4 linked regions of the Elephas maximus indicus genome follow. The protein of the gene in region 1 binds, or shares a complex with, the protein of each later gene. Links are inferred from orthologs where the notes say so. Each region holds a gene or a part of one and is shown on either strand. Other genes may lie near its edges. The genes, in order: CWC22, SNW1, SNRPE and SCNM1.

Region 1 (6,882 bases):
GATATCACCCCATCTTCCTTGAGCAGGTTCCAGCTAGAGCCCAGTTCTATGCCAGCACCCCTAGCCAGCAGGAAGAAGCTACAGAAGATGAGACCTTCGGCCCTAAACACCTTTTAAGATAGAGAGGCAACTGAAGCCTCTGCCGAGATTTCCGCTGCTCCACCATGGTTCCCCCCGTCACAGCCCGCCAAGCCACGGCTTCTAACTGTGGTTTGGCCTGACCACACCAACCTAACCGCAGTTTGAATTTGGTGCCAGAATCCAGCGCATGCGTGAACCAGGATTTTGGCCCATGCACAGGACCTGAAGAGCAGCATCCTCAACCTGTCCTTGGACCTGAGCATCACCAACATGATTCACCATTTGGACCTCCAAATGTGGACATGGGAGGACTAAGGGTGGAAAGTTCCGGGCAGCAAACCCAACCCCCAGATGCCACTGGAAATACAAAGCTCCTCAACTGCCCCCCCACCCCAGATGGGGAGTGCATGGTCTTTCGACTGCTAGGTCCCATATTGCTCCTTGTTTGTGCAAACAATAAACTGCCACTTTCCGTTTCCCTTGCAACTAGTGGTGTGGTGTCTGTCTTATTTCAATTGGCTAATAGGACAGGACAAGAACCCATATCACATAAATTCTGAGGGCCCCAAGCACAATTCATCATAAGATGGAAGTCTCACATTTGGGATGAAGCACAAAGAACACCAGAGTGCACAAGAGACCTACATGAGCAGGTAGCACAGACCTCCATGTCACCCGTTACACTGACATCCCTCCCTCAGTTCATATTGATAGCCATATGAGAGGGAGTGGAGCTAAAACTATCAGAGGAAAGAAGAAAAAAAGGCCAAGCTAAGTTTATGGATGGATTGGCTCACCACATGGTTGAAAGCTGAAAATAGACAGCAACCACATCACAGCCTCATTCAGGACAGCCTTGAAGACAGTGGAGAGGGACAATCTTCTGAGCAATACTGCAGTAGAAAATCAAAAACCAAACCCATTACAAAACCAAAGGCCAAACTCATTGCCACTGAGTCAATTCCAACTCACAGCGACCCTACAGGACAGAGTAAAACTGTCCCCACGGGCTTTCCAAGGAGCAGCTGGTAGATCTGAACTGCTGTCCTTTTGGTTAGCAGCCGTACGTCTTAACCACTGTGCCACCACTATGGTATAAGGACCTAGTCATTTAATCCCTTAGTAGTCCCTCCGTTTCAGAAACTTTGGCAGCATAGATGTTAAGAGCTACCACTGCTAACCAAACAGTTGGCAGTTCAAATCTACCAGGTGCTCACTGGAAACTCTATGGGGCAGTTCTATTCTGTCCTGTAGGGTCACTATGAGTAGGAATCAACTCAACAGCAATGAGTTCTTGGTAGTTCCCCTTTGGAGCTACCCCTGCCCAATCCTGCTTCTTCCCTTTTCTTTTAAAATTCCTAACTCTATCTCAGTATCTTCTTCTTGGAGGACCGAAATGACAAACCTACTTTTTTCTGGCTCCATTCAACTCTTGTAGGCTCAATCCTAACTTTCTTATTTCCACTGATAATTGCAGTGGTGTTCATTATATTTCTTTTAGATATGTTTACCAGATTCATCTCCTGTGCCACGTATTGGTACAAATGAAACATATTCCCTTAAAATACCTTAGAACACCAAAACACAACTTTAGCTATGGTCAACTCTCTTCATATGAATAATAATACCCGTTACTGTCAAGTCGATTCCAACTCACAGTGACCCTACAGGACAGAGCAGAAATGCCCCACAGGGTTTCCAAGGAGCACCTGGTGAATTCCAACTGCAGACCTTTTGGTTAGCAGCCATAGCTCTTAGCCACTAAGCCACCAGGGTTTCCATCGATAATAACAGATAGCAGTTATTACATACTAGGCACTTGACTACTAACCTAAAGGTTGGTGGTTCGAGCCCACGAAGCAGTTGCATGGAAGAAAGGCTTGGCAATCTGCTTCCATAAAAAGTTACAGTCATAATGATTACCCATTCCTGTTGAGTCAATTTCAATTCACAACACCCCTATAGGGCAGAAAACGGCCCCATCAGGTTTCCAAGGCTGTAAATCTTTATGGAAGCAGAAGACCAGAAAGCCCTATGGAGCAGTTCTACTCTGTAACACATGAGGTCTCCATGAGCCAGAATGGACTCCAGTGCAGCTTTTTTTTTCTCTTTTTTAAGGGGATGGGTATTGGTATTATTCCTACTTAACAGATCAGGACGCTGGGGCACAGAGTGTGAAGTAACTTGTCTAAGGTCACCCAGCTAGGAAGCCATAATTCAAATGTAAATAGTCTGGCTCCAGCTTCTTTATTATTAACCACTGTACTCTTCTTTCTCTTGAAAAGGGTTGGTAGCAGAAGCACCCTAAAAATGTAATAAATAAGTATCTGGAGAAACCAGGCCTGGTTTATATAAGGTTGGTGAATATGCTATAGTTGTTTTAAACCAAAACCCAAACCCATTGCCCTTGAGTGGATTCTGACTCATAGCAGCCCTATGGGACAGAGTAGAACTGCCCCCATAGGGTTTCGAAGGCTGTAAATCTTTACAGAAGGAGAGTGCCATATTTTTCTCCGTGAAACAGCGAGTGGGTACGAACAGCAGCCCAGTGCTTAACCACTGTGCCACCAGGGCTCCTCATAGTTGTTTTAGGGAAGGATATATCCCCAAACAGTTAGAAGTAGTTGAACTTTTTTGTTGCTATTGGAAAGTAAGGCATAATGAAATTAATTGATGCTGGATCCCTGAACTCTGTACAGACTACCATTCAAACTCTGCCAGATAATCTCCTTACCTCATGATATCTTGACCGTGAAAAACTGGTATTATGATCTTTAAGGTTGCATGTCAACTTGGCTGGGCCACGATTCTGTGGTTTGGCAGTTATGATGTAGTTTGGCAGTTGTATAATGATGTAATCACTTCCATGACAAGATCTGCTATGAGTAGCCAATCAACTGAAAGGGAGTTTCCTTGGGGTTGTGGCCTGCATCCAATATATTTGGACTTTTTGGCAAAGCTCCTTGGCTTCTGCTCTGCTCTGGATCCTGCATTCAGCTCGTCAGCATCTGACCTCCGGTCCCTGGGACTTGGGCCAGCAGCCTGACATCTGACCTGTGGATCTTGGGTTCATCAGCCCCTGCAGCTAAGTGAGTCAGGAGAAGCCTCCAGTTTGACACCTGACCCATGGACTTGGGACTTACCAGCCTCTACAACCCTGGGAGCCATTTCCTTGAAACCTGGATCTCTCTATCCTTCACTGGTTTTGCTTCTCTAGAGAACCCAGCCTAAGATAGAGACATCATTTTCTTTTCAGGATTAGCTTCTCTTCATTACTTCACACTATTTATGGTTCTGTATTTTCTCCTTCACTTAGGCTTGAAATCTTGGTACTTTACAGGCACTTTTTAACATTTGGTAAAGCTTAATACGCTCTCGTGAAACTACTGTAAAGAGTCTGAATAAGCTGTCTGCTCTTAAGATTTTCACGGAAAACTGACTTAAGTATTACAGTCATGCCAACTGCAGAAAATAGTTTTAGATGAAAGTAAACCTCGCTAAACCCTAACCCTTACCACGTTTCCGGTGCGTTGACTGGATGTACTCGGGGGCGCTTACCTACAATGACTACAATTCCCATCCTACACTGCGGCCTCCACAGCCTAAAACTACAATTACGCTAGCGTCGTTTCCGCTCGTACGGGCAGTGGGTGTTTGATTTAGTCGTTTGTATCAACTTCTTTTGTCGCCGTCTTAGGGGTAGCAAGTGGATGCACAGAGTTCTTTGAATCTAGTACTACGAAATAGTGTTAAAATAAATCAATACTTTTATAACATATCACAGCTAATTTTTAATGTATTTCACGCTCCGCCTTCATTGTGCCGCCAGAGCCCAGGAACGGGAAGTGACGTGTATCCGGTGTAATGGCGGCGCGGTGGAGCTGTAGGTAATTACCGCAAACTCCGTAGACTCCCTGTAGGCAGGGATCCGACGTAGGTGTGGCAGTTTTCCTGAACGGGTGGGAAGTGAAAGGGGCCCAGGAGTGGGTGCGCGCCCGTTGGCCCAGCCGTGGGCTGTAAACGGGTGCGCGTTGCTCCCTGCCCGCCGTGCGCTGGCCCGCGAGGTGGGGGTGTGAGCGCGGGTCGGGTCGAGGAGTCGGAGCGGGTTAGGAAGGGGCGGTGGTGTGCTCGCTCCCCGCCTGCATGGATGAACTTAGTTTCCGCCTGAGAGTTTTGGGCTGACTCCTATCTCTTTGTTAGTGAAATCCAGCAGTAGCGATGGTCTTTTTCTTCGCGTACAGTGCGGTTCGGGCGCGGGGTACTTAGAGCCTGAAGAGTTAAGTTGGGCTTCCCAGGCACCTTTCATAGTGTCCCCGTCCTAGAGTCATGGGGGTGGGATTAGGAAACTGTAGTTGATTGAAATAGTGGAAGTTGCACTCTTTCACTCATTTCCTTCTTAATATTCCTGTGACTACCTATTTTACTAGTTTCTTTTTTCTTCGTTTGCCTCGTAAATACTGATTGTTCTCAGTGTTTAGGCCGGGGGGGGCTCTTTCCTTATCATGTGTATTCTTTCACTGTCATCTTCATCTTTTGATCACTGGAACTACATCCAGTAGGGTGATCATAACTTCCAAATTTGAGTCTCAGGTGTCCACCTGCCTTCTGAGCTCCGGATCCAACAGTACATTCTTGCGTACAATGGTATTTTAGTAGTTTCATTAACTGCGGTAACTGCTTTATTTATTTTCACCTAACCCTCAAAGCAGTTCTTCAAGGTAAGTGGAAAAGGAAACATACTGAGAAAGGCTGTTCCAAAGGCAAGCATTGAAGTGATTGAAAGCGTGATAAGAATTTGCTTTGCATATTCGGGTGTCCACAGACTAGACATATGAGGTAGATACGCAAACAAGCTTGGTTTTCAGAAAACATGTTAACCTACCTTTTACTTTTCTGTGTTTAGATTTGTCTTGGTTTAGTATTGTCTCTGAGCTCAGGAATTAGCTTCAGTTAACAGAAAAGCAACTTTAGAATTGGTGTTTAATAGTGTGGGTTTTGACCATGGTAAAGTTACTGCACACTGTGTCTGTAGGAGGAGGTAACTCCCTTGCGTTGAGTTGATTAATGGACTAGTGAGCCAAAGGTTCCAGTCTTGGCCTGACATTTATTGGGTCTATCACCTGGGTGGGGTAAGTCACCTTATGTCTCTCATCTTAGCTTCTTTACCTGAAAAACTTAGATTATAATATCTACCTCACCGAGTTGTTTTGAAGATGAAGGAAAATAATGCACATTAGATATTAAGCACAGTGCCTGGTATATAGTGTTACCCATTGCTGTCGAGTGGATTCCGACTCATAGCAACCCTATAGCACAGGGTAGAACTGCCCCTTAGGGTTTCCAAGGCTGTAAATCTTTTCGGACTCATAGAGTCGGAATCGACTCGATGGCACTGGGTATTTTTTTAAATCTTTTCGGAAGGGCTCTTTCTCCCGAGGACTGGCTGGTGGATTTGAACCACCAAACTTTTGGTTAGCAGCTAAGCCTTTAACCACTATGCCACCAGGACTCTATTATATAGTGTTAGCCCTTATTATATTAAGGCTCTCTGGTGGCACAGTGGTCAAAATTATCTACTGTTAATGGGAGGATCAGTCTTTGGAAACCACCAGCCGGCTCCAGGGTAGAATGTGGCAGTCTGCTTTCATAGAGATTATAGCCTTGGAAACCCCATTGGGGTCACTGTGAGTCGGAATCGATCCGACGGCAGTGGAATTGGTTTTTATTATTTTATTATTGCTGTTGCTGCTACTACTACTGTTACATGTTGCCCTTCTACTATTAAGTGTACAGGCGCCTTTCGTAACTAATCTGGCTGGGGCTCTGGGACTTTGTGGAAGAAAGGCCTGGTGATCTACTCCCCCAAAATCTGGCATTGAAAACCCTGTAGAGCACAGTTCTACTGCGACACACACGGGGTCGCCACGAGTCGGAGTTGACTCAACAGCAACTGGTTACTGGTTTTACTGGGACTCTGCTTATACTTGCTTGCTTATCAGAGGCCGAGAGCCTTGATCTAATACCCTGGCTCAGTGGTTCTAAAAGTGGTCTCCTGAACCAGCAGCATCAGTACTTGTTAGCAATGCATATTTTGGGGCCCACCCCAGTCCTGTTGAATCAGAAACTGGAGGAATGGGAGCCTATCAGTCTGATTATTAATAAACCATCTATTTGATTCTCATGCCTGTTTGAGAACCACATCCCCTAGAGACCTGTTTTTTTTTTTTTTAATTGTGCTTTAGATGAAGATCTACAGAACAAATTAGTTTCTCATTAAACAACTAATACACATATTGTTCTGTGACACCAGTTGCCAACCCCGCAATGCGTCAACTCTGTCCCTTCTCGACCTTGAGTTTCCTGTTTACGTTCATCCAGCTTTCCTGTCCCCTCTTGCCTTCTCATCCTTGCTGCTGGCCTGGTGTGCCCATTTAACCCCTATACATGGTTGAGCTACGTGTATTTTTGTTTGTTTTATGGGCCTAAATCTTTGGCCAAAGGGTGACCCTTAGGAGTGACTTTAGTAGTGAGTTAAAAAGGTGGCTGAGGGCCATACTCTTGGGGCCTAGAGATCTATTTTTGTCTGTTGTTTGTGTTTTGTTTCATTTTCCAGAATCAGCTGCTACTCCCCTTCCTCACTTTGGATAGTTTAGCTCCAACCACTTCTGTAGTTAGACACTCCCTAGACTATAGGGTCCCTGTGAGTTGGAATCAACTCGACGACAAGGAGTTTGGTTTTTTTAGGCTACTTAGCTGTCTTTCCTAAACCAGCTTTCCTAACTGTCAGCTTTCCCAGTTGCT
Region 2 (7,257 bases), on another chromosome or scaffold:
TCTTTATTTTACTTAAATTGCACTATTGATTTGTTTACTCATATACAGTCTGAGTCCCTTACTAGAATGTAAGGCCTGTAAGAATGAGTTTACTTGATTCAATACTATAAAACCAACATTAGAATGGTGCCTAGCACATGGTAGAACTTCAAGAAATATTTACTAAGTATATGAATGAATAAATAAACAAATGGAGTCAAAAGTCTTAGGCTTCTTCCAAAGTCATTTTCAGTAAACCATATGTAAGTAATATACAATGATAAAGAGCTACAAAGACACCAAAATTATGTACTTCTGTTTCATTTCTTTTCACTTTTCTTTACCTTCTCTTGGAAGAAGCATTCACAGAAATGATCAAAAGGCAGGCAGCCTGCCAGAGAAGCAAAGGGCTTTGGCAATCCAGTAAACAGGTAACAGAGCCTGAATTATGGTCAGAATATACTCTAGCCTTCCAGAGGGTCTTCACTTTGTTCTTCCCTGAAAAGGAAGGCCTTTGCATAAAGTCGAACACTCCCATGGGGAGATGAGAGGCTGGTCTTCAGATGAAAAAACAAAACAAAACAAAAAACCCAAACCCACTGCCTAGGAGTCAATTCCGACTCACAGTAACCCCACGGGACAGAGCAGAACTCCTCCATCTGGTTTCCAAAGAGCCGCTTGTGGATTTAACTGCTGACCTTTTAGCAGTCAAATGCTTAACCACTGCACCACCACGGCTCTAAAGAACCTTCAGATAGCATAGATAAAATAGACTGCTAATTATATGTACAGCAGTAAGTCTACCAGATCTCAACTAGTGGCAATTTTGCCCCCCTGGGGTATCTGGCAATGTCTAGAGACATTTTTGATTGTCAAGATTTAGTGAGAGGGGGTGCCACTGATATCTGGTACATAGGGGCCAAGGATGCTGCTAGACATCCCACCATGCACAGGGGTCCCAAACAACAATGAATTATTCAGACCCAAATGCCAATAGTGCCACTATTGAGAAATCCAAGTTTACCCTTTTCCCTTTACTAAAGAAAGTATATTAAATGCAAGTAATGTTAATATACCCATAACTTCGAATACACTCAAATATAGAAAATTAAATCAGTTAGACTTTAAACCTTTAGTATTAGTAACATATCACTGGTGACATCAAGACTGACACATCAGTATGTCAAGACCTTGCTGTTAACATTCCCTGGTAGATCTTGGAGTTAATATAAATTAACACCTCACCTATAAACTTGAGACTATCTGTAAAAATCAAGTTAGCTAGGACTAATTCAACAAAAAGGAGCCCTAGTGGCGCAGTGGTTAAGCACTGGGCTGCTAAACAAAAAGTGGGCGGTTTGAACCCACCAGTGGCTCCCTAGGAGAAAAAACCTGGTGATCTGCTCCCATAAAGACTACAGCCTGGGAAATCCTACTGGACAGTTCTATGTCACATGGGGTCACTATAAGTTGGAATAGACTCAATAGCAGGCAACAACAATTCAACAAAATCAGAAAGCCATGTAGTCCCCAAGACCAGCCATTTAAACATTACATTGTGTCAACAAGCACACAATACCCATGACATCTCTGGTATTTTTCCTGTGCATCCATTTCCAATTCCACCTTTTCCCCAAACAAATCTTTCCCTCATAGCTCTACTAGCCTCTATCACAGTGCCTTGCACCTAGAAGGCACTTAACTGCCTGTAACATTTACTAAAGAAAACTCTCCAGTCCATAAAGCTCATTCCATCTAACTCTTTTCACTCTTATGGTTTGTGTTGCTCTTCAATCGTTCATATTTGTATGCATTGCTCCCCATTGTCTCTGAAGTCAGACAGTCAGATTTCCTTCTGCATACACCACAACTCCTAGGATGAGTCAGGGCACCCCATTTAAAAAACAACAACAAAAAAAAACAAAACCAACCAAACCAAACCCACTGCGCTCAAGTCGATTCCGACTCATAGCGACCCTATAGCAGTTCCCAAAAGAATCTTCTGAATAAAACATGTTTCGGATTCATAATTGTCATCTGCCAGGAAAAATATCTGAGGAGAATAAGGTGTGTTAAGAGAGCTCAAGTCGATATCCTAAAAGGATTACTTCTAAGGACCAAAAATTCTAAGAAATTCTAAGGTCCAAAATTACAATCCTCTTTGACACTCGACTTTCCTGTTGAATTCGCATGGCAAAGTTTTTCTACTTAAATGGGGCAGCATGGTCGCGCACTAGTAAGGGTTATGTAACTTCTTGGGATCTCCCACTTAGAGCATCTTTTTCTCAAAGGCGGGGACCCTTTACATATGGTTACCAAGGCAACCGCGAACAGCAAAAAATCGGAAGCGGTTCTATCTAGGGAAGAAATTCTAAGGTCCAAAGTTAAAGCCGGGCGCAGCGGCGCATATTAGTAAACAGCGGCCACTGCTGAGGCTAGTTCAAAATCTTTATCCACTTCCAGGCCTCTTTCTTAGGAGACCTTGTTTCGGGAAACGGAATGGACAGAAAGCCCTCGGCAGCAAGCGGACAGAAGTCCGCGTAGTCGCTTCCCGCCGGCTTCGCTCCGCCGAGACAAGCAAGCAACTGCCCACACTCCCCTCTCTTCTACCCAAGCCGCCGACTTGAGGTAGCGGTCTCCACGTCCCCCGCGATGCTGAAGCGAAACACACGTGCGACTCCTCGCATCTGGGCCGGAGAACTATTGGCCACTCCACGGCTCCGGCCTCGGGGAGGGGGCGACCCCAACCCGAGCAGACGCTCGGGAAAACCCACCCTCAGGCGAGGCCTAGTCGCCGCGGCGGCTGGCGGGAGGGCCTAGCCACGGCCTTGGTCTAAGTCGCTCTCTTCCCAAAGCCGGGTCCCCGCCCGGAGAGCGTGGACAGAGAAATGAAAAAGATGGGTCGTCTCAGACCCTTCCGTATCGAGGGCTCGAATCAACAACCCACCTGGTGAGCGCCATCTTCTTCCGCTTCTTCCAGCCCGAGCGACAGCAGCGCGGGGCGGACCTTCCCTGGCGAAGGGGCGGGGAAGGAAGGAGCGCGCAGTGCGCAGCCGCACCTGCCGAAAGGCCTTCTGGGCTTAGTAGTTATTTGATAGGGAGTACAGTTCGGGTCTCTATTTCGGGTCTCTTCTAACCAGCCTAAGCGGTCCTCCTTAGATGATCTCATTAGGAAGAGTAAAGACTTATCTGTACTCTATGATATCATAGGGCGTTCGCTAAGCGAAGTAACAAAGTTAGAGAAAGCTACCTTTTTAGCCACTTTTTCCCCCACTCAGTCCCATCACCGTCGTGTAACACGTTGCCATGGAATTGACTCTGACTCGCAGCGACCTATAGGACAGAGCAGATCTGCCCCATGGGGTTTCCTAGGCTGGGAAGGAGCCCTGGTGGCGCAGTGGTTAAGCTCTCGGCTGCTAATTGGAAGATGGGCGCTTGGCTGCTAACCGAAAGTTCGGCAGTTCGAACCCGCCAGCCGCTCAGAGGGAGAAAGATGTGGCAGTTGGCTTCTGTAAAGATTAGAGCTTTGGAAACCCTATGGAGCAGTTCTACTCTGTCCTATAGGGCCGCTGTCAGTCGGAATGGACTGAAAGGCAATGGGTGTGGTTTGGGAATCTATACAGAAGCAGATAGCCACATCTTTCTGCAGAGGAGCAGCTGGTGGCTTCCAACCTCTGACTTTTTGGTTAGTAGCCCAGCGCTTAACCACCGCTCCGCCAGGACTCCTGTTCCCCTAGATTAAAAAGAAAAAGAAAAGCCCGTTGCCATGCAGTCTATTCAGACTCATAGCGATGCTATACGACAGAGTAGAACTGCCCCTTAAAGTTTCCAAGGAGCGCCTGGTGGATTCAAACTGCCAACCTTTATAGTTAGCAGCCATAGCACTTAACCACTACACCACCAGGGTCCTCCCCTACTGTCCCAAATACAAAAACCTTCAGGTGATAACCACGTTAAATAAAAGGTAACAGGGTTTGAAACAATAGGATAGTCAGAGATTAGCGAATGGAGAGTTCTCGGACGTTCTGAAAACATTGACGTTCAAAACTTTTTCCTTTAAATGCTATCCCCTTCACAAAACCCTCTCCTGGGAAAGGCATTTTGTGATCTTCAGTAAATTACCTTTTGAAAACTCCTGATATACGTAGTATATATGTAGGTATGTTTTTTAGGTACACATAGTTTATGGATTCATAGTGAAATAATAGTATAAACGAAATCTGCTTCAAAATATTGGGAGGAGGAAAGAGTGTGGAGCATAGATGAAACAAGATTAGCCATGAATTTTGATCATTGTTGAAGCTGAGTGATGGGAAAGTGGATGTTTGTGATATTATTCTCTCTACTTTTATATACGTTTGAAATTTTCTGCACGCATACAGAAAAGTGCATACATTGTATGTGTACAGGCCTTTAGATTTTCCCAAACCACAGCAGTGTGAACAGCCCAAGAAGCTTCCCTCATCCTTTACACTCACCCTTCCTCCCAAGAATCCTCATAGTCTTTGATCTTCACGTTCTAGTGTGATAAGAGCATCTTGTACATTTTCTGCCCCAGATCTGGAGTTGGTTCTCTGTCATTTGCAATTGAAGGGAATTTACTAATGTGTTTTCTCTGTGCTCTGATAGTACTTGTGTTTCACCTATTTTTAACAAAGATCACATTCTATAGATTTTGATGGTTTACCTGACTGAGAGGAAGATTAAATCTCTCTTTGTCACCATTGTATCTCTATCATTGAGCCTGAGCAGTCTTGGGCAAGCCTTCACCCCTCACTGGATTTTGGTTTCCTCAGCTGTAAAAGGATAAACCAAACCAAAAAACCAAACCAAAACACCAAACCGGTTGCCATTGAGTCGATTCCAGTGCAAAAGATAGGGTGGGCTCAAATAATACCAGAGATCCTTCTGGTGTCAATATGATTCTAGATACTTTATTTCCTTAGTTTTTAAAACTTCTAAAGAGGTTTAAAATTTTCCCATTCCATGAACTATTGATACATTCAACAACTCGGATGAATTTCAAAGGCATCACTTTCACTGAGTGAAAAAAGCCAGTCTCAAAAGGTTTCTTATTGTACGATTCCATTTATGACATTTTGTGTTGGGGGGGAAGGAATTAGGAATTTTTAGGACTTATTTTTTTTTTATTTAAAATTTTTATTTATTTTGTTGTTGAGAATATACACAGCAAAACATACACCAATTCAAGTTTCTACATGTACCATTTAGTGACTTCGATTACATTGAGTTGTGCAACCATTATCACTCTCCATTTCCAAGTTGTCCCTCCCTTATTAACATAAATTCACTATCCCCTAAGATTCCCATCTAATCTTTCAAGTTGCTGTTGTCAATTTGATCCCTTGTAGATAGTTCTTAAAAGAGCATAAGGCTCAAGGCAGACATTTTTTAGATTTATGTCATTTTTGAAATGACAAAACTAGTGACAGAGAACAAATCCGTGGTTGCAAGGAATTAAGAGTAGGCGGTAGGCGTGATTATTACAAGGGAGTTTTTTTTTTTTTTTTTAGTTGACAGAACGGTTCTGTATCCTGATTGTGGTGGAGGTTACGGAACCTGTAAAACCAAAAAAACCAAACCCATTGCCATTGAGTTGATTCTGACTCATGGCAATACCATGTATTACAGCAGAGCAGAACTGCTCCGTAGGGTTTTCTTGGCTGTAATTTTTATGGAAGGAGATCACCACGCCTTTCTTCTATGGTACCACTGAGTGGATTTGAACTACCAACCTTTAGGTTAGTAGTCAAGCACAAACTGTCGTCATGGATTGAACTGTGTCCCCTCAAAATATGTGTCAAATTGTCTAGGCTGTCATTCCCCATATTGTGGTGTTGTCTTCTGTTTTGTGATCTGATGTAATTGTCCTATGTGTTGTAAACTCTAATCTCTGCCTGTGGTTAATGAGGTGAGATTAGGTTAAGTTACAGAGGATTAGGGTAGGATGTAATACCCTTACTCAGGTCACAGCCCTGATGTAAGGGGAGTTTCCCTGGGGGTGTGGCCCACATCACCTTTTATCTTAGAAAAGATAAAAGGAGAGAGCAGCAAGCAGAGAGAAAGAGAGACCCCAGGCCACCAAGAAAAAGGCACCAGGGCAGAGCATGTCCTTTGGACCCAGGGTCCCTGTGCTGAGAAACTCCTAGGCCAGGGAACAATTAATGACAAGGACCGTCCCCCAGAGACCACATACAGAGAAAGCCTTTTCCAGAAGCTGGGCCCTGAATCTGGTCTTCTTGCCTCCTAGGCTGTGAGAGAATAAATTTCTCTTTATTAAAGCCATCCATTTGTGGTATGTCTGTTACAGCAGCACTAGATAACTAAGACATCTACCCAGGGCTTCCTATGAATCTATACATGAGTTGAAATTCATAGAACTGTATGCCAAAAAAAATGAGTTTTACTATATGATAATTAAAAAAATAAAAATTTAACAATGCCTGGTCTAGCTCTTACTATCCTGCTGTTAGAAAAGTCTCCTTAGCCTCATTCAGCATCAGCAGCATTTTCTCTTTGGCACTGTTTCATGGCACTCTTTGGGTTCCTAGAGCCATAGGAAAGGTTACAGAAGATCAGTATTTTTAAGAAGAGTAGAGGGACAAATGACATACTAGTTTTCTATGCTACGTAACAAATTAACACAAACTTAGCGGTTTAAAACAACATCCATTTATTAGCTCACAGTTCTGTAGATTAGACGGCTTGCACATGGTGACTGGGTTCTCTGATCAGGGTATTACAAGGCTGAAATCAAGACGTCGGCCAGACTGAGTTCTTGTCCGACGTTCTAGAGAAGATCCATCTCCAAGCTCCTTCTTGTTGATTGCATAACTCAGTTCCTTGCAGTTGTAGGTTGGAGGTCCTTGCTTCCTTGTTGGCTGTCAGTGGGGGTGCACTGCCATAGCTTGCTTTTGTGTGGCCTTTCTAGCCATGGTCTTGTAACTCCCACCCAAGTGATTGGGTGAGACTGTGTGGTAGGGTGGGATTGGTGGAAACGAAGGGGATTGGTGGAAACCCTGGTGGCGTAGTGGTTAAGAGCTATGGCTGCTAACCAAAAAGGATGGTAGTTCGAATCTACCAGGCTGGCCTTGGAAACCCCTGGGGCAGTTCTACTCTGTAGTATAGGGTCACTATGAATAGGAATTGACTCCACAGCAAAGGTTTTTTGTTTTTAAAGGGAATTTGTCAGGCTAGCCATCCCACTTGGCTTGAAATGAGCCACCCCAGAGATGGTAAAGAGAAGATCCTACCACC
Region 3 (6,849 bases), on another chromosome or scaffold:
GGGGTAAGTGGGAGAGGATGATTTCGAAAGAGTACACTACTCCCCCAAACAATAACTTCTCAAATGCAAACTAAATTTAAGAATGAACTGAGCTGCAGGTCACTAATTTTGCAACTGAATAAACCTTTCTAGGATTCTGTAAGGCCATCTATATTCTTACCCAGTTGTTTTCTTGACTTTGTTTTAGAATGAATCTCTTCTGCATCATCTAACACAAGGTTCATATACTCATCAAAACCCTAGAAAATAAGCCACAGGACCATCATCGAGTTAGATCACATTCAAACCATTCAAAAATGAGTGTATCTATCTAGATACAGAATGCCAATGAACTTCAGAAATTCGTCCCTCTACTGATCTTTCATCTAAAGTAAGGCATATGTAAGCACCACCTTCACCCTAAGTCTCTTTTTAAGTAACAAAGAAAGCCAGAAGGTATTCTAAATTACTACTCAAACCTCTTGGACTTAGGATTTCATTAGCTATGCCAAGGAGCCACTCTTGCTCTCTTTCACAACCTGCCTGATAGAGTATGTGTGTATGTCTATGATTATCTTCTGCCAATGCTCTCCCCCTGTGTCCCCACAATATGCTATTACCACTAACCACATTTGTTTCCCGACCGGTAAATCGGGCAGGGGAGATTACCGATGAAATCTAAGATGTCTAAACGGAATTGCCATGTCTAAATGGAATACCAGAGTGCTCTGACGTAATACTTTCAGCCATGCTTCCATTAATCTCCCCTTCTAAATTTATGTTTTATTTTTTCTGAGGAAGCCCTGGTGGGGCACCAGTTAAGCGCTCAGCTGCCAACCAAAAGGTTGGGAGTTTAAACCCACCAGCCACTCTGCAGAAGAAAGATATGACAATCCACTTCTGTAAGGATTACAGCCTTGGAAAACCTATGGGGCAGATCTACTCTGTCCTTTAGGGTTGCTATGAGTTGGAATCAACTCGATGGCAACTGGTTTATCTCTTTTGTCCCCTTCCGCAATGCCAATATTGTTGTTTAAGTAATCCTAAAAGCTTAATTTTCCTGTTCTTTTTTGAATTACCCAACCCCTAACAACTAGAACAATGACAAGGCTAACCAGGGGGCCCTGAAAAACTTTCCTTGGGTTGAATCTTCAATTTTCCATATATTGCTCTGCCTAGCCACTTTCCGTTAAGTCTTTTTCTGGGAACAAACTGCTCTGAGATAAAATATCCTGGGTACTCACTATGATACAGCCCTCTATCCGCATATTCACTTGCTCATACAGCCACACCTGAATCCGGGATCTCTGAAATAATCATAAAAAAAGAAATGTTAGAATAAGTAAATACAATCTAATCACTTTGGTTAAACAACAGAGATGAACTATGGCTCCTAAAAAACTATCCGAAAAATATAAGTCAAGAATTTTAACCAGCAAGTCTATACCTAAGAGTCAAGATAGGTTACTTGCCAAGAAACCTTTTCATTTATTAAATGTTATACTGTGATTGTCTGGGCTAACAAATTGGCTGTGATCTCAGGACTCAATCATATTTCTCATTACTTATAATCCCAATCCACTGAGATTAAAAATTGGTGACAGTATAGCACAAAGCAGTAAATTCCGACGATCAAGATTAAGGGCATATGTTGTATCTGATAAAGCAAAATCCAGCTCCAAAGCAAGGCTTCTTCTAGCTTCTCAGCCCTCCGTGTCACACACATAACCACCAGAGGAGGATCACCAATTCCGGTGTTTACAATTTACGGGGCTTGAAATTACTCTGTTTTTCAACTGTGTTACTTATCACACACTAAAACTTGTCAGAGCAACAGAAACATTTTCTTTCAGAGATAATTTTAACATCTGACCTGTCAACTGAAAGTATTGCTAAAAATCCCCCCAAAGGAAAGCAGGCTGAATCTACTTCTTCACTCCACATTTTTAAACGTCTTTTCTATATGTAAGTTTTCCCATAGGCATTAAGCACACATCTCACGACATGGTTTAAGTTAACTGGGTATTTCTTTTAAGCCATGTTTGACCTTCTGGCAACCCTAAGTGGAGGAGATCAGAACGTTCCCATATTCTGGTCATAATCACTACAACAAAAGCACCAAATACTATCAACACGTCTGCCAACGAACAAACCCTGAAACTCATAATTTTGGTTTTGGAAAGAAATGACACAATTCTTTGCACGCTTGGAGTTGACAGCTGTAAATAACTACTTTCTTATATTAAGGCTTCTCTGTACCCTTTCCTGTCAATTATCCCTCCAGCCCCTCCTCTGATTTCATTTATTTTTAACATAGAACACAGCGACCCAGTAGACTGACACATACAGCTTAGAAAACCCAACTTTTACTTAAAAAATCATTATGAAACAAGTAACTTACGTACATTTTGCAAATATCTGAAGATAAGGTTCTGCATCACAGTAGTTAAGGAACTGGTCGATCTCAACCATCGCACTTTTTTTTTTTTTTTTGGTTTGTTTTCTGAACGTGAGGTCTGCTGCCTACACAAGTAACAGTGCCCAACAAATGGCACTCAACCGAAGTCTCCTAAAAACCCGGAAGGAATCCCCCCCACTCCCTTATCCGTCAGGAGTTTCCATCGCCCCGACAACCTCCCTCAAACCGGTAATTCTGCGTTCACTCAGTACCCAGCGATGTCGTCCCTCCGCTCAGCCTCGACATCCTACATCTCCCACCCCCGGGGTCGGCCTATCCTCACCTCCCACCCAGCACCAGTCCAACTACCCGCGCTTTCTCCCGGTCTCGATCACCCCGGAGGCTCATGGGATGTAACCCGCACTCCTCGCCTTCAGGCCGGGTCTCTGCCCGCTCCTTCGTCCTCCGTTTCCTAGCCCGAATCTCCTAGTCCTGACATCTCAAGCAGGATACGATGGGCTGCACCATCACCTTCTGCACTTTCTGGCCCTGGCCACGGTAAGCCATGGTGGAAGCTCACAAAGACCACACTAAGCCGCACGCCGACGCAGAAAGCGACTTCCGGAATTAGGAACCGGAAACGGAAATGTATTGAGGCCGCGCAGCGACCTGACGGCTACTGGGTGGTGCCTCTCTAGCCGCAGAGTGGCTTTCTCTGTGATCTGTAGCATCCCGGGGAGGCCGAACTGAGGGCGCTGCACTCGGTAGGATCGGAACCTGATCCGATCCTACAGCGCCACCTGGAGGGAGACGGGAGAAAGCCCCGAGGGACTTCGGTCGTGCGGTGGAAGCGGGGGAAAGCGGTAGAAACACAGGCACCAGGTCGTTTCCGTTTTCTGATTTCCGCTTTTAGAGCCGTAGTCGTCCTATTGCGTGTCTCTGTCTGTAAAATGGGTTAAATTAGTCCTTTTCCTGAGGCCTAGCTTCCTGGAATTTAGGCTCGACGGCAGCGTTGTGGGGCGAGCGCGGGGAGAGCGGCAGGAAGCCCGAGCAAACAGCCCCAGTCTGTGGTTTGCCCTAGTGACGGATTCAACTCCTCTCGTCAGCTCCGTGGGGGAGTTTTGTGAGGTGGCAACAACGTGGTGATTTAGCGTGAAGGCTCTGAAATCCGATGCTGGGCTCAAATCCAGCTCACTTAATAGTTACGTGACCGAAATGTGCAAAATGGAGATAAAATTAATAGTACCTTCCTTACGGGTTTGTGGTGAGAATTCAGTGGTGTAATACAGTGCGCACACACACACACGTTCAGGCTGGAGTCAGTGTTAGATGTGACACACCGTTTCGCTGGTAACGACCTAGTGAGTGGGGGAGCTGAAATGCGCAAGTATGCCACACCCCAAAGCTCATCCAGTGTTTCCGTTATGTCGTGGTGGCTTGTGGCCTGGCAGAAATTTCATTCAATTGGAACACTCATTTTTTAAATGAGGAAACTGAAGCTCAGAGTTGAAGGGACTTGCCTAAGGGACATTAACGGAAAGTGGCAGAATCAGAACTTACCTAACTGAGGTCTTTTGTTGAATGAGGATAAAACCAATTTCTACCTCTTCAAAAGTGTTGAATCAGGGGACATAGAAGTGATTTTTTAACTATAAAGAGCTAGAAAGGTCATGGGACAGTTATTTCTCTTAACCTCATTCCTACCCCATGCTCTGAACGGAGTTAATTGGACAAAGATTTGGGTAAAGATTTGCTGAATTCAAAGACAGCCGGGATAGAACACAAAACCCCCCAAAACCAAACCCATTGCCGTCAAGTCAATCCCTACTTGTAGGGACCCTATATGGATAGAACACAAGAGTAGTAGTATTAACACCTACCTATTCAGTAGTAGTGTAATACCTGTCTCAAATGCACAGATGCTTAGCTACTTGTTTTAGCATTTTCCTGTTACTGGACTTTTGGGTGTTGATCCCTATAACCACTCATGTAACTGGATTATGTAACTCATTAAGAGTGTTGTGTTGTTTCCTTTTTCTTTTTTTGTAATTGTCTTTTTTACATTTAAGTCTTTGCTGCTCCACCTGAATTTATCCTAGTATCCTTGTATATCCTAGAGGTGATACAACTTTATATTTTCCTAACAGCTATCAGTTTTCCATCACCGTTACAAAAAAAAAAAAACCTCATCTTTCCCCCTATTATTTTAAAATGCCACATTTATAATATATCAAGTGTGTGTGTTTGTGTGTGTGTATCTGGGACTTCTACTTTGTTCAATTGATCCTTGTGTCTATGGAACCAATATCATAGTTGTAAGTATTGTAGCTTTATAAATATGTTTTCTTCTATAGAACTAGAAATAGGTAGCATTTTCCAAGCTATTCTTGTTTAGTTACTTTCATATACTCTTCAGAATCAGTTTTCAAAACCCTTTGGGGATTTTTTTTTTTTTTTTGAGATTTCATTAAACTTTAGAATAACTAAATTTTTTTTAATTCAAGTACACGATGTCTTTTCATTTGTCCAAGTATTCCTTTGAATCCTACAGAAGTTTTTTGTTTTCTTCATATAAAACTTGTCCAATTCTTAAATTTAATCCTAGACTCTTCATCTCTCTTATTTAAAAATTGAGTCTTTTCCTCAATTGTATGCTCTAACCATTTGTTAAAAGACAAATCAACTACATAAAAATTATAAAGTTTTACAAGACTAAAAAGGCATGATGATAAGCAAAGTCAGAAGAATTGGGGAAAATATGTTATTTGCAACAAATCAGACAAATGGCTAATTTCGCTAACACATAAAGAGCTCCTGAAAATAAAATCTAAAATGTTAAATGCTGTTTTGGCTCTCTAGTGCTGTGTATGAAAATTTTCCAAAACTTATTGACTTAAAACAGCAACCATTTTATTATAATTTATGATTTTGCGAGTCAGGAATTTAGGCCGAGCTCAGTTGGGTAATTCTTCAGGAGACATATCTAAGGCCTTGGTGGGTATCTTTGGAAGGCTGGCATTGGCTGGGTCCCTTTCCCTCTCTATGTAGTCTTGGGGCCTCTCCACATGGTCTCTCTGGCAGGGTAGTATGATTTCTTAATCAGTTCATTAACAAAATAAAATGGTCTTCAAACTTATGAACAGATACCCAACTTCAGTTATTATAAGAGAAATGCAGACTAAACTACAGTGAAATATCATTTTTTCCCCATTAGATGGCAAAGTTAAAAAAAAGTGGTATGAACTCAGCAATTCCAATTTCAAAGAACTGAAAGCAGGGACTCAAACTGATACTTACACACCAGTGTTCACTGCAGCATCATTCACAGTAGCCAAAAGGTGGAAACAACCTGAAAGTCCATCAGTGGATAAATAAATGTGATACATACAGTGGAAATTATTCAGTCATAAAGAGAAATGAAGTTCTGATACATGCTACAGCATGGATGAACCTTGAAAGCATTGTGCTGAGTGAAATGTCAGGCACAAAAGAATATTGTATGATTCCACTTCTATGAACTATCTAGATGTGATGGTTAAGACTGAGTGTCACCTTGGCTGGGCCATGATTCTCAGTGTTTTTGGCAGTCGTATTATGTTGTGATCACTTTCCTGTTGAGATTTGGTATGTGATCACCCCCATGATGGGATCTGCTGCTGTAAGTAGCCAATCAGTTGAAAGGGAGTTTCCTTGGGTGTGTGGCCTGCATTAAATATAAGCGGACATTCTGGTAAGACTTGAGGGCTTTTCATTTGTGCTGGATCCTGCAGCTCCTGTTTGTCTGACTTCTGGCTCTCGGGACTTGAGCTAGTAGCTTACCTGCGGTCTTGCCTGCTAATCTTGCGACTCATTGATCTTCGCAGCCTGTGAGCAATAGCCCTGTTCTCTGACCTGCCTATCTTGGGTTTGCCAGCCCCTGCAGCTACATGAATCAGGAGAAGCCTCTATCCTGACACACGGAATTGGGACACTCCAGTCTCTACTACCATGTGAGCCATCTCCTTGGTATAATCTCTTTATATATGTGTGTGTGTGTGTATATATATATATACATACATACATACATATATATATATAGGCTTTACTGGTTTTGCTTTTGTAGAGAACCCATCCTAAGACACTAGAAGAGGCAAATACGTAGAAGTAAATTTATATTAGTGGCTACCAAGGGCTGGAGAGAGGGGGTGGTGGGGTGTTGTTACTTAAGGATGAGAAACCATTTATATTCTCCTGAAACACAGATTTCTGGATCCGTGGAGTTGGGGTGACTGACCCAGGCCATTTGCAGTTAGGTGTCCTTTTGAACCTTTAGCCTTGAAGAAACTGGTTCCTAAGTGTCACATTTGAGTCAAACAATGGTCTAAAAAAAAAAACCTCTAAATAAGCTAATAAGGCCATTTTGCCTTGGGCATTGTGCTCTTTTGAAGAATTAAGTCAGTTTCAGAAAACAGACTCCAAAGGACAGACTGGGT
Region 4 (7,243 bases), on another chromosome or scaffold:
TAGGAATCTTGGCAATAGGCCCCAAGGGTTACTGCCAGTTCACCAGGGGATTATTTATACTCTGGGGATCAGCAGGCAGGGAGGTTCAGGTTACCAGGGGAAGGTGGGGGAGCTCCCTCCCTTGGTGTTCCCTATAACTCTGCCAGTGCCTTTGGTCTATTCTACTTTCATAGGGTACCTAGCCTCAGCTCTGTTTCGAGATGTGGCTGGGTCCCCCCCAAGGGCCTACCCAGAGCCTTCATGCCATCTGAAGGGGGAAAGGACTTTCAGTGGAGGTGGGGAAGGAAGTAGACAACATGAAGGGCAAAGACCTGCTTCTGACAGACTTATTAATAGGGCACTGAGCTGCATGCAGCTGACGCTTGGCATGACGTTGGTAGAAGGTGGGGAGGGGTTAGAATTATGGGGTGCTGTGTACCTTGTAAGGAAGGAGTGTCTAACCTGAGAACGAACAGATTTCATATCCTGAGATGGGACAATGAACCAGACTTGAGGAAAGTTAGGCTCCCAGCACCTGTTGTAGTTTATTTGTGAACTGAATGGGGAAAGAGGGTATCAGTCCAAGGGGAGATCAGGGGGTTCCTCCTCATCAGAGTCAAACTCAACATTTTCATCTTTCACCCATCGACCCTGTCCATCTGGGATCCATCCAGAGCTGGAAACATCAGAGTAAACAGAACTGGTCAGAATGAGGATAGGAGGTTTATTAAGAAGTTAGTAGGGATGAGAAAAAAACTCAGTAGGTTTGAAAAAAAGGCCAGAGAGAAAAGAGCAAATGCGAGGGAAGTGATTCGGCATACTTACCTTCGAAGAGTGAGGTAACGATCCAGGGCTTGTCTTCTCGTGGGGCTCATGGGTACAGGGGCTGGGACAGTTGCTGATTTCTTGGCCTGTGGACCTGTTTCAGGCTCAGATTCCCTGCTGATCTTCCGACTTTGGAGTTCAGCCTCTGCAGGTGGCAAACGGGAATGGACGACGGAGGGACCAGGGGCTTCTGGTCTGGGTGGAGAAGGATTGAAGTCTGTAAAAGTGGTAAAGGAAAGGGCCAGCTCTCCTGTGACTCCCAACCCCTTAATGCAGCGTTTTCTAAACCATGTTCCTCAAGCTATTAATGAGAATTGTGCATAAAAAGGATTTTGAAGTCAAATGAATTTGGGAAAGCCTAGGTTAAACAAAATTTTTAAAGGTTTTTTTTTTAATTTCAAGACTTTGTAGAGCCCTTAAATATGCTAATATCACTATGCTTAAAGTAGAATTACAAAGCGCCATATCCCAAACTTTATTTGAAATCACGAAAAAATTTTTTTTTCCTGGAATACCAATTAGCATCTTCAGAACATAGTATTCCTCAGGATACGATTGGGAAGACAATAATTTTAGAGCCATCTATCTCCCACTGTCCCTCCCTACTGATTCCCATACTAGTAGTTCTTTTCCACCCACTGTCTCCATCTTTTTATGTCCCTAACCAATGTGAAAGACCTTTCACTGTTATTCCCCTATTCTTAATTCCTCCTAATACAGCAACGTGCCGTGAGGAAAGAATAGCCTTCTAAACAAATGGTGCTGGGACAACTGGGTAATCCTCATGTAAAAGAATGAAGTTGGACACCCCCCGCCACCTCATACTGTGTACAAAAATTAACTCAAGATGGATCAGGGACAAATTTAAGAGCTAATACAGTAATGCTATCCTTTCCCTATTTCCCATGCTCAAGTCATATTTTTCTCTGGCTTTCCCATCCCACAGACCTGTACTTCCGGCGGCAGCAACTGTTATAGTGGGGAGCTCTGTGTAGAGCACTCTGAGTGATAAATCGAGTCTGGGCCAGCAGAGGAGCCTGGTATGGGGATAGGGGAAAAGAATCAGAGCCATGAGAGCTAGAGAGAAGCCAAAGCCCTTCAAGCCTGGGGTGTGCAGCAGGGTCTTGTCTGGGACACACCTTTCCCGCTCTGATTACCTCAGCTTTGTTCTCCTCCCTCAGTTCATTCTGCTGTCTTGGATTCTGCTCCATTCCCTTTCCTGGCTGCTTCTTGCCATAAAAACGCTGCAAGCCTGAGGAGTAGGGGGGAGGGAATTAAAAGCAAAGCGCTAAGACTGGTCTGCAGAGGTTTCAAGGGTTTACACTCTATCCCATGCACTCTTTTAAACTTACTGGACAGATGTTTCTTCCCTGCACGATGGGCAGTCAGCATGGCCAGGGTGTCCAATACAGGCCGGTGAGGGCAGATGGCACAAGCAAAGCTGAGGAGGGGTAAAGAAGACAGTTGGTACAGGGGTAGGAGTGGGAGGTCTGCTGTAGGTTCCATCCTGTCCTAGTAGTCCTTTCCAAAGCCCTACTCCCAGTTCTAACCTCCACCGCCCACATCCCTGTCTCTTCCAGTCTCTCACTCTCTGCCAAAGAATTTTAGATACTCCAGAACTCCCCCATAATAACAAAAGCTTATTGAGCCTCCAACCGCAGAACTCTCAGGCTTGAATCCTTCCTCGCCCTCACCGTCCATCCCGTAGCATCAGCGCCTCATCCTCTGGGATATAACTGGCCAGCAAGTCCCCGACTCTTCGTTTCTGGAGGGAGTAAGGGAACAAATCCGAACGGAATAAGCGGGACAGGAGGCAGAGATGGAAGGGAAAAATGATAGAGACGAGGCATCAAAGGGAATAAGGTCCATTGGAAACAAGCGATCATAGGGCGAAGAAGAGGTCTAGGAGCCTGACTCCCTCTCGCCCCTCATCCCTCCGAGCTGTTTCCAGAGCAACGAAACAAAGCTCTTTCAGAGTTTTCAGAGGGTGGCTGAAGCTGCTCCAGACCCTCTACTTTCGCGCTTACTTTGAGTACATTGAGTTGACTCCAATCGTCTCCTTCTCTCTTGAAAGACATCGCGACTGTCAGCCTCAGAAGCAACAAATTCGCGGTACCAAATTTTTCACTCCCTTCAGGCCACCGTAGCGGTAGAGGGGTGTCTCCTCGCCCTCTGCCTGTCTTTTCCGGTTGGCCTCGTTACTTCCGGGGTGTGCTTCCCCGCATGCATTGCGCGATTCTGAAAACACTGTTCTTGCGCAAAGGGGACTGCTTTTCCTATGGTGCCCTGCGACCCCGCCGGCGCGAAGCCTCTTGGGAAATGAAGTCTTTTCTCAAAGAACTTGTCGCCCGGCTGGAAGCAGGCCCTTGAATCTCGGCAGATTCGAAGCATTTGAAGAGACAAGAACCTATATGTGGAGCTGATGCTTGAACCCGAATTTAAGACCGATCTGATGCGGAGTAGGTCCTTAAGGATCGATGAGTGGATAGTGGACTACAAACTCTCCAACCACCCGCTCTTCATCTGCGACGTCAGCTCACCTAGGGTGGGCCCGGCTCGTTCCAGACCCTAGGGGATCAACCCCGGGACGGGGCGGAGCTGGGGCGAAGGGGGGTCGGGAGCCCGGGCTGCCCGGCTGTGGAGCAAACTGAGGAAAGGGTGTTGAGGAAGGTACCTAGAGTTCCAAGGTCAAAGGTCAGTGTAGCGAGGAGTTGTGGGGTTCCAAAGGGAGACTTTGGTAGAGACTGAATACCCAGGGGACCAGATTTGTGGAAAAGGGACTTGGAGGGAGAAAAAGCGAGGGCAGATAATATCTGTCTAGAATATCCTAGGTCCCTAGGGGAGGGAGGGGAGGAGTGACGGGGGCGGGTGGAGGTTCGGGGAGTGAAGAGGAGCTGAGGTCGGGGCGGGGGGAAGGGAAGATTTAGGAGAGAAGGGGAAGGATCTCCCTGGATATCCATTCCCAGACGCCGGCCCGTCACTGTCCATCACTTAGCCGGTCCTCCCTCAGTCGCAACCGGAGCTGTCAGCAGGGTGAGGAGATGGCTTCTCCCTCTAGACAGCCCCCCCTCGGGGGATCAGGACTGCTTCAAGGGAGCCGGGCTCGTTCTTATGGAAGCCTGGTGCAGTCCGTCTGCTCCCCAGTGAGGGAAAGACGCCTGGAGCATAAACTGGAACCTGGAGACACTCTGGCTGGACTAGCACTCAAATACGGGGTGACGGTGAGTCTTCCAAGACTAGGGTGCTGACAACCAGTTAGGAGAGAATGTCCTGAATGCAGTGACCCCTCTAAGTAACTTTTCCAGGATTTTTCCTAATTGGGGCTGTGTCTGTTCTGGCTTTAATCTGTTTGTTTGTTTTCCCTTGTCAGTGTTGCTCTCTCTGGTTGGGGCAAATCCTGCCCCACTACCTTAAAGGAGAGGAGCAGCTACTACTTTATTGAAGCCTACTCTATGCCAGATAATATACTAGCTGCTTTACATGTATCATCCCATTTGATCCTCACATCCCCTCTCAAGTATACAATTATTGTTCCCTTCTTGCAGATAAAGAAACAGAAACATGGATTAATCTGTTAACCAGTTTTACCAAAATGAAATAGCTAATGAGTGTCTGAGTTGGAATTCAAACATCTGTCAGACTCTAAAGACTGTACTACTATTAACTACATGGAAACTTTATAATTGATAATGATAAAACATTTACAGCAAATAATGGAGAGCTGGTTTTTAGTTCTAAGTTCCTGGTGTGCCTATCTCTTCTTGTCCTTTCCTTTCTCAGTGCTTTGCCTTCTTGCCAGTAAGGTGGCTTTTCTTGGTAAGGAACAGGTTCTCTTTACAGCAAGTATGTGTAGGGTGTATTTGATAGGTGTAACAATATATTGCGTTAAAGTTGGCGAGTGTTTTTCCATATCCTGTTCATTCAATTTCACACAAACAAATGTTGAATTTAGCCAACATTTGCATGCTTGCTCTGTTTAAAGCAGTATGGTAACCATCTTGGACATAGAAACAAATAAAATGTGTGGCTGCTGCCTTCATGTAATTTACAGTCTGGTGAGAAATTTCCTGGGACAAAAATAATGATAGTAGGTGGCAGAATGTGTTGAATTTGTAGTGATATTAACAAAGGATGGGAAGTTAGAAATGGAGATTAATTTTTACTTGGAAGGGACAGAGGTGAACATCAGTGCAGGTTCTGAGGCAGCCGTCACTGTGGTCCTTGGAAGACTTAGAAACTTCTTCTGTGCTTCTCTCTACGATTTGTGGAATACTGTTATTTGCATAGGTTTTTGTCTTCTCAACAGCCTATACTCTCCTTAAAGGAACCGTGGTGACGCAATGGTTAAGTGCTGAGCTGCTAACCAAATGTCTTCGGTTAGAACATACCTGTGGCTCCCCGGGGAAAAAAGACCTGGCGATCGGCTCCCATAAAGATTACAGCCTAGGAAACCATATGGGGCAGTTCCACTCTGTCCTATAGGGTCTCGATGAGTTGGAATCAGCTTGATGGCACACAACAACAACATCCTTTCTTTAAGGATAGAAACTATTTCCTGTCAATAATTATATTCTTAAAGTCTGGTATAGTCCCCACCACATAGCAACTTAATAGATGTTTTTCGAATGAATGAGTATGGCTAAGATTTCCACACGTAGAGACTGGAAGTATAGGAAAGAGTACATTTCAAGTACAGGGAATGGCCTAAGCAAAAGAAGTGGGTGTGAAAGTACAGGGCAGCCCCTGGGGCTCAGCAGGGTCTCAGAAGCTTTGCAAACAAGGAAACTGGGCTACCAGTGAATCAACAAGTACTTTCTGAGGCTTTTTTTTTTTTTTTTTTTGCTCTGTACAGACAAGCTCTGTCGTCTAGTGAAGAAGAGTCCTAGGTTCTAATCCCATGCTGCTGCTTACTGAGTAACTTTAAGTCACTTCCCCTCTCTGGAACCTCAGTTTCCTCACCATTTGTAAAATGAGGAAAATGTATTAAATAATGATAATTATCAGAGTTATTATCTACTTATCATTTAAGGAACACTTGCTATGTGGAAAGCTTTGTATATGTGTTACCTCATATTATCGTCATAAGACTCAATGAGGTAGGTGTACCTATTCTCATTTAAAGATGAAGAAATTGAGACCTAGGGAGATAACTTTACATAGATTATACAACTAGTAAAATTGATAGAGCTAGGATTCAGACCAGGTTTTCTCATTCTAAAACCTTCACTTTTAATTGCTAACTGGTGGCACAGTGGTTAACAGCTCAGCTGCTAACCAAAAGGTCGATGGTTCAGCCACTCCCCTTTAAGAGAAAGATCAGGCAGTCTGTTTCCGTACAGATTACAGCCTTGGAAGCACTATGGGGGAGTTCTACTCTGTCGTATAGGGTCACTATGAGTTGGAATCGACTCGACAGCAATGGGTTTGGTTTTTTTAGTTCTATTATACTATCTAGATTCGAAGGGCCTTTCTAGCTGTAAAGACTGTGGCTCCATGGTCCTTTGACCTTGGTCACATTGCTTTTAAAAGTAGGATTATGTCTCCTCATATGGTGCTTCCAGGAATAATAAAAGAAACAGAAACTTCATATATTAACTCATAACATCTTGAAGCTGGAAGGGACCTAGGATATTATCCCAGCAAAATAAAATCAATAGCATAGAAGCACTTGGCAAAGCAAAAGTATAAAAGTAACAAGCCAATGTTAACTTTTTTTATTGTTCAGATTAATCTGATTTCATTTTTAAACATATTATAACAGTCTAAGAATTTAGTAGTCAAGTTGAGACCTAGGGACCTAGGTCTTGCCACAGAGTAGAAACATCTTTGATATTTGACCAATGTGGCTTTCCAAGCTGATGCCAATACAGGATGAATTTTTAGTAAAACTGGCAACCTGGCTCTCGTATAGTAAAATACTGACGCCCTATGTTTATGGTTCCTGTATTTTATTATTTATTCATAATGCATTAATGACCCCCATTAACATGAAACATTGTGGGTTGCTGAATAGTGCCTTGGGGATACAAGACAGCAAGTTGCCGTCTCTTTCCTTAAAGGACTCACAGGGTAGTAGGAAAGACAAACATGCAAAGAAGAGAATAACAGTGTAATAGAGTAGGTGTTATTTGGGCAATATCTACAGATGCTTTGGCAGCCCGGTGGGGGAAAGATGTGGCAGTCTGCTTCCGTAAAGGTTACAGCCTTGGAAGCCCTATGGGGCAGTTCTACTCTGTCCTATAGGATCGCTGTGAGTTGGAATCAACTCGAAGGCAGTGGGTTTTTGGGAGCCCTGATAAGGTAACACAAAGGGAGGGATGTAGATGAGTGCAAGCTTTCCAAGCCCAGAAAGAGCTAGTGGGGAGGCATTTCAGGCAGAAGGAATAGCATGGATAAAGACACAGAAGTGTGAAAGAGCATGGAACATTCAAAGAAAACA

The links.
Region 2: CWC22 (region 1) and SNW1 share a complex: the UniProt entries of both Homo sapiens proteins name them as parts of the minor spliceosome. The link is inferred for Elephas maximus indicus from reciprocal best matches to the Homo sapiens genes CWC22 and SNW1.
Region 3: CWC22 (region 1) and SNRPE share a complex: the UniProt entries of both Homo sapiens proteins name them as parts of the minor spliceosome. The link is inferred for Elephas maximus indicus from reciprocal best matches to the Homo sapiens genes CWC22 and SNRPE.
Region 4: CWC22 (region 1) and SCNM1 share a complex: the UniProt entries of both Homo sapiens proteins name them as parts of the minor spliceosome. The link is inferred for Elephas maximus indicus from reciprocal best matches to the Homo sapiens genes CWC22 and SCNM1.

The regions. Positions count from the first base shown.
Region 1 is NC_064824.1:78,258,923-78,265,804, reverse strand, and holds the start of CWC22 (pre-mRNA-splicing factor CWC22 homolog), read left to right. Parts: upstream 1-3,862; 5' UTR 3,863-3,968; intron 3,969-6,882. UniProt on the Homo sapiens protein: Required for pre-mRNA splicing as component of the spliceosome. As a component of the minor spliceosome, involved in the splicing of U12-type introns in pre-mRNAs. Promotes exon-junction complex (EJC) assembly.
Region 2 is NC_064828.1:90,536,256-90,543,512, forward strand, and holds the start of SNW1 (SNW domain-containing protein 1), read right to left. Parts: upstream 3,001-7,257; 5' UTR 2,941-3,000; coding exon 2,927-2,940; intron 1-2,926. UniProt on the Homo sapiens protein: Involved in pre-mRNA splicing as component of the spliceosome. As a component of the minor spliceosome, involved in the splicing of U12-type introns in pre-mRNAs.
Region 3 is NC_064836.1:13,038,967-13,045,815, reverse strand, and holds the start of SNRPE (small nuclear ribonucleoprotein E), read right to left. Parts: upstream 3,008-6,849; 5' UTR 2,945-3,007; coding exon 2,891-2,944; intron 2,412-2,890; coding exon 2,385-2,411; intron 1,287-2,384; coding exon 1,224-1,286; intron 240-1,223; coding exon 161-239; intron 1-160. UniProt on the Homo sapiens protein: Plays a role in pre-mRNA splicing as a core component of the spliceosomal U1, U2, U4 and U5 small nuclear ribonucleoproteins (snRNPs), the building blocks of the spliceosome.
Region 4 is NC_064821.1:185,194,715-185,201,957, reverse strand, and holds the start of SCNM1 (sodium channel modifier 1), read right to left. Parts: upstream 3,020-7,243; 5' UTR 2,883-3,019; coding exon 2,832-2,882; intron 2,570-2,831; coding exon 2,499-2,569; intron 2,246-2,498; coding exon 2,157-2,245; intron 2,057-2,156; coding exon 1,962-2,056; intron 1,842-1,961; coding exon 1,753-1,841; intron 1,000-1,752; coding exon 805-999; intron 656-804; coding exon 556-655; 3' UTR 1-555. Other genes in the region: LYSMD1 (lysM and putative peptidoglycan-binding domain-containing protein 1), read left to right, coding at 3,846-4,025. UniProt on the Homo sapiens protein: As a component of the minor spliceosome, involved in the splicing of U12-type introns in pre-mRNAs. Plays a role in the regulation of primary cilia length and Hedgehog signaling.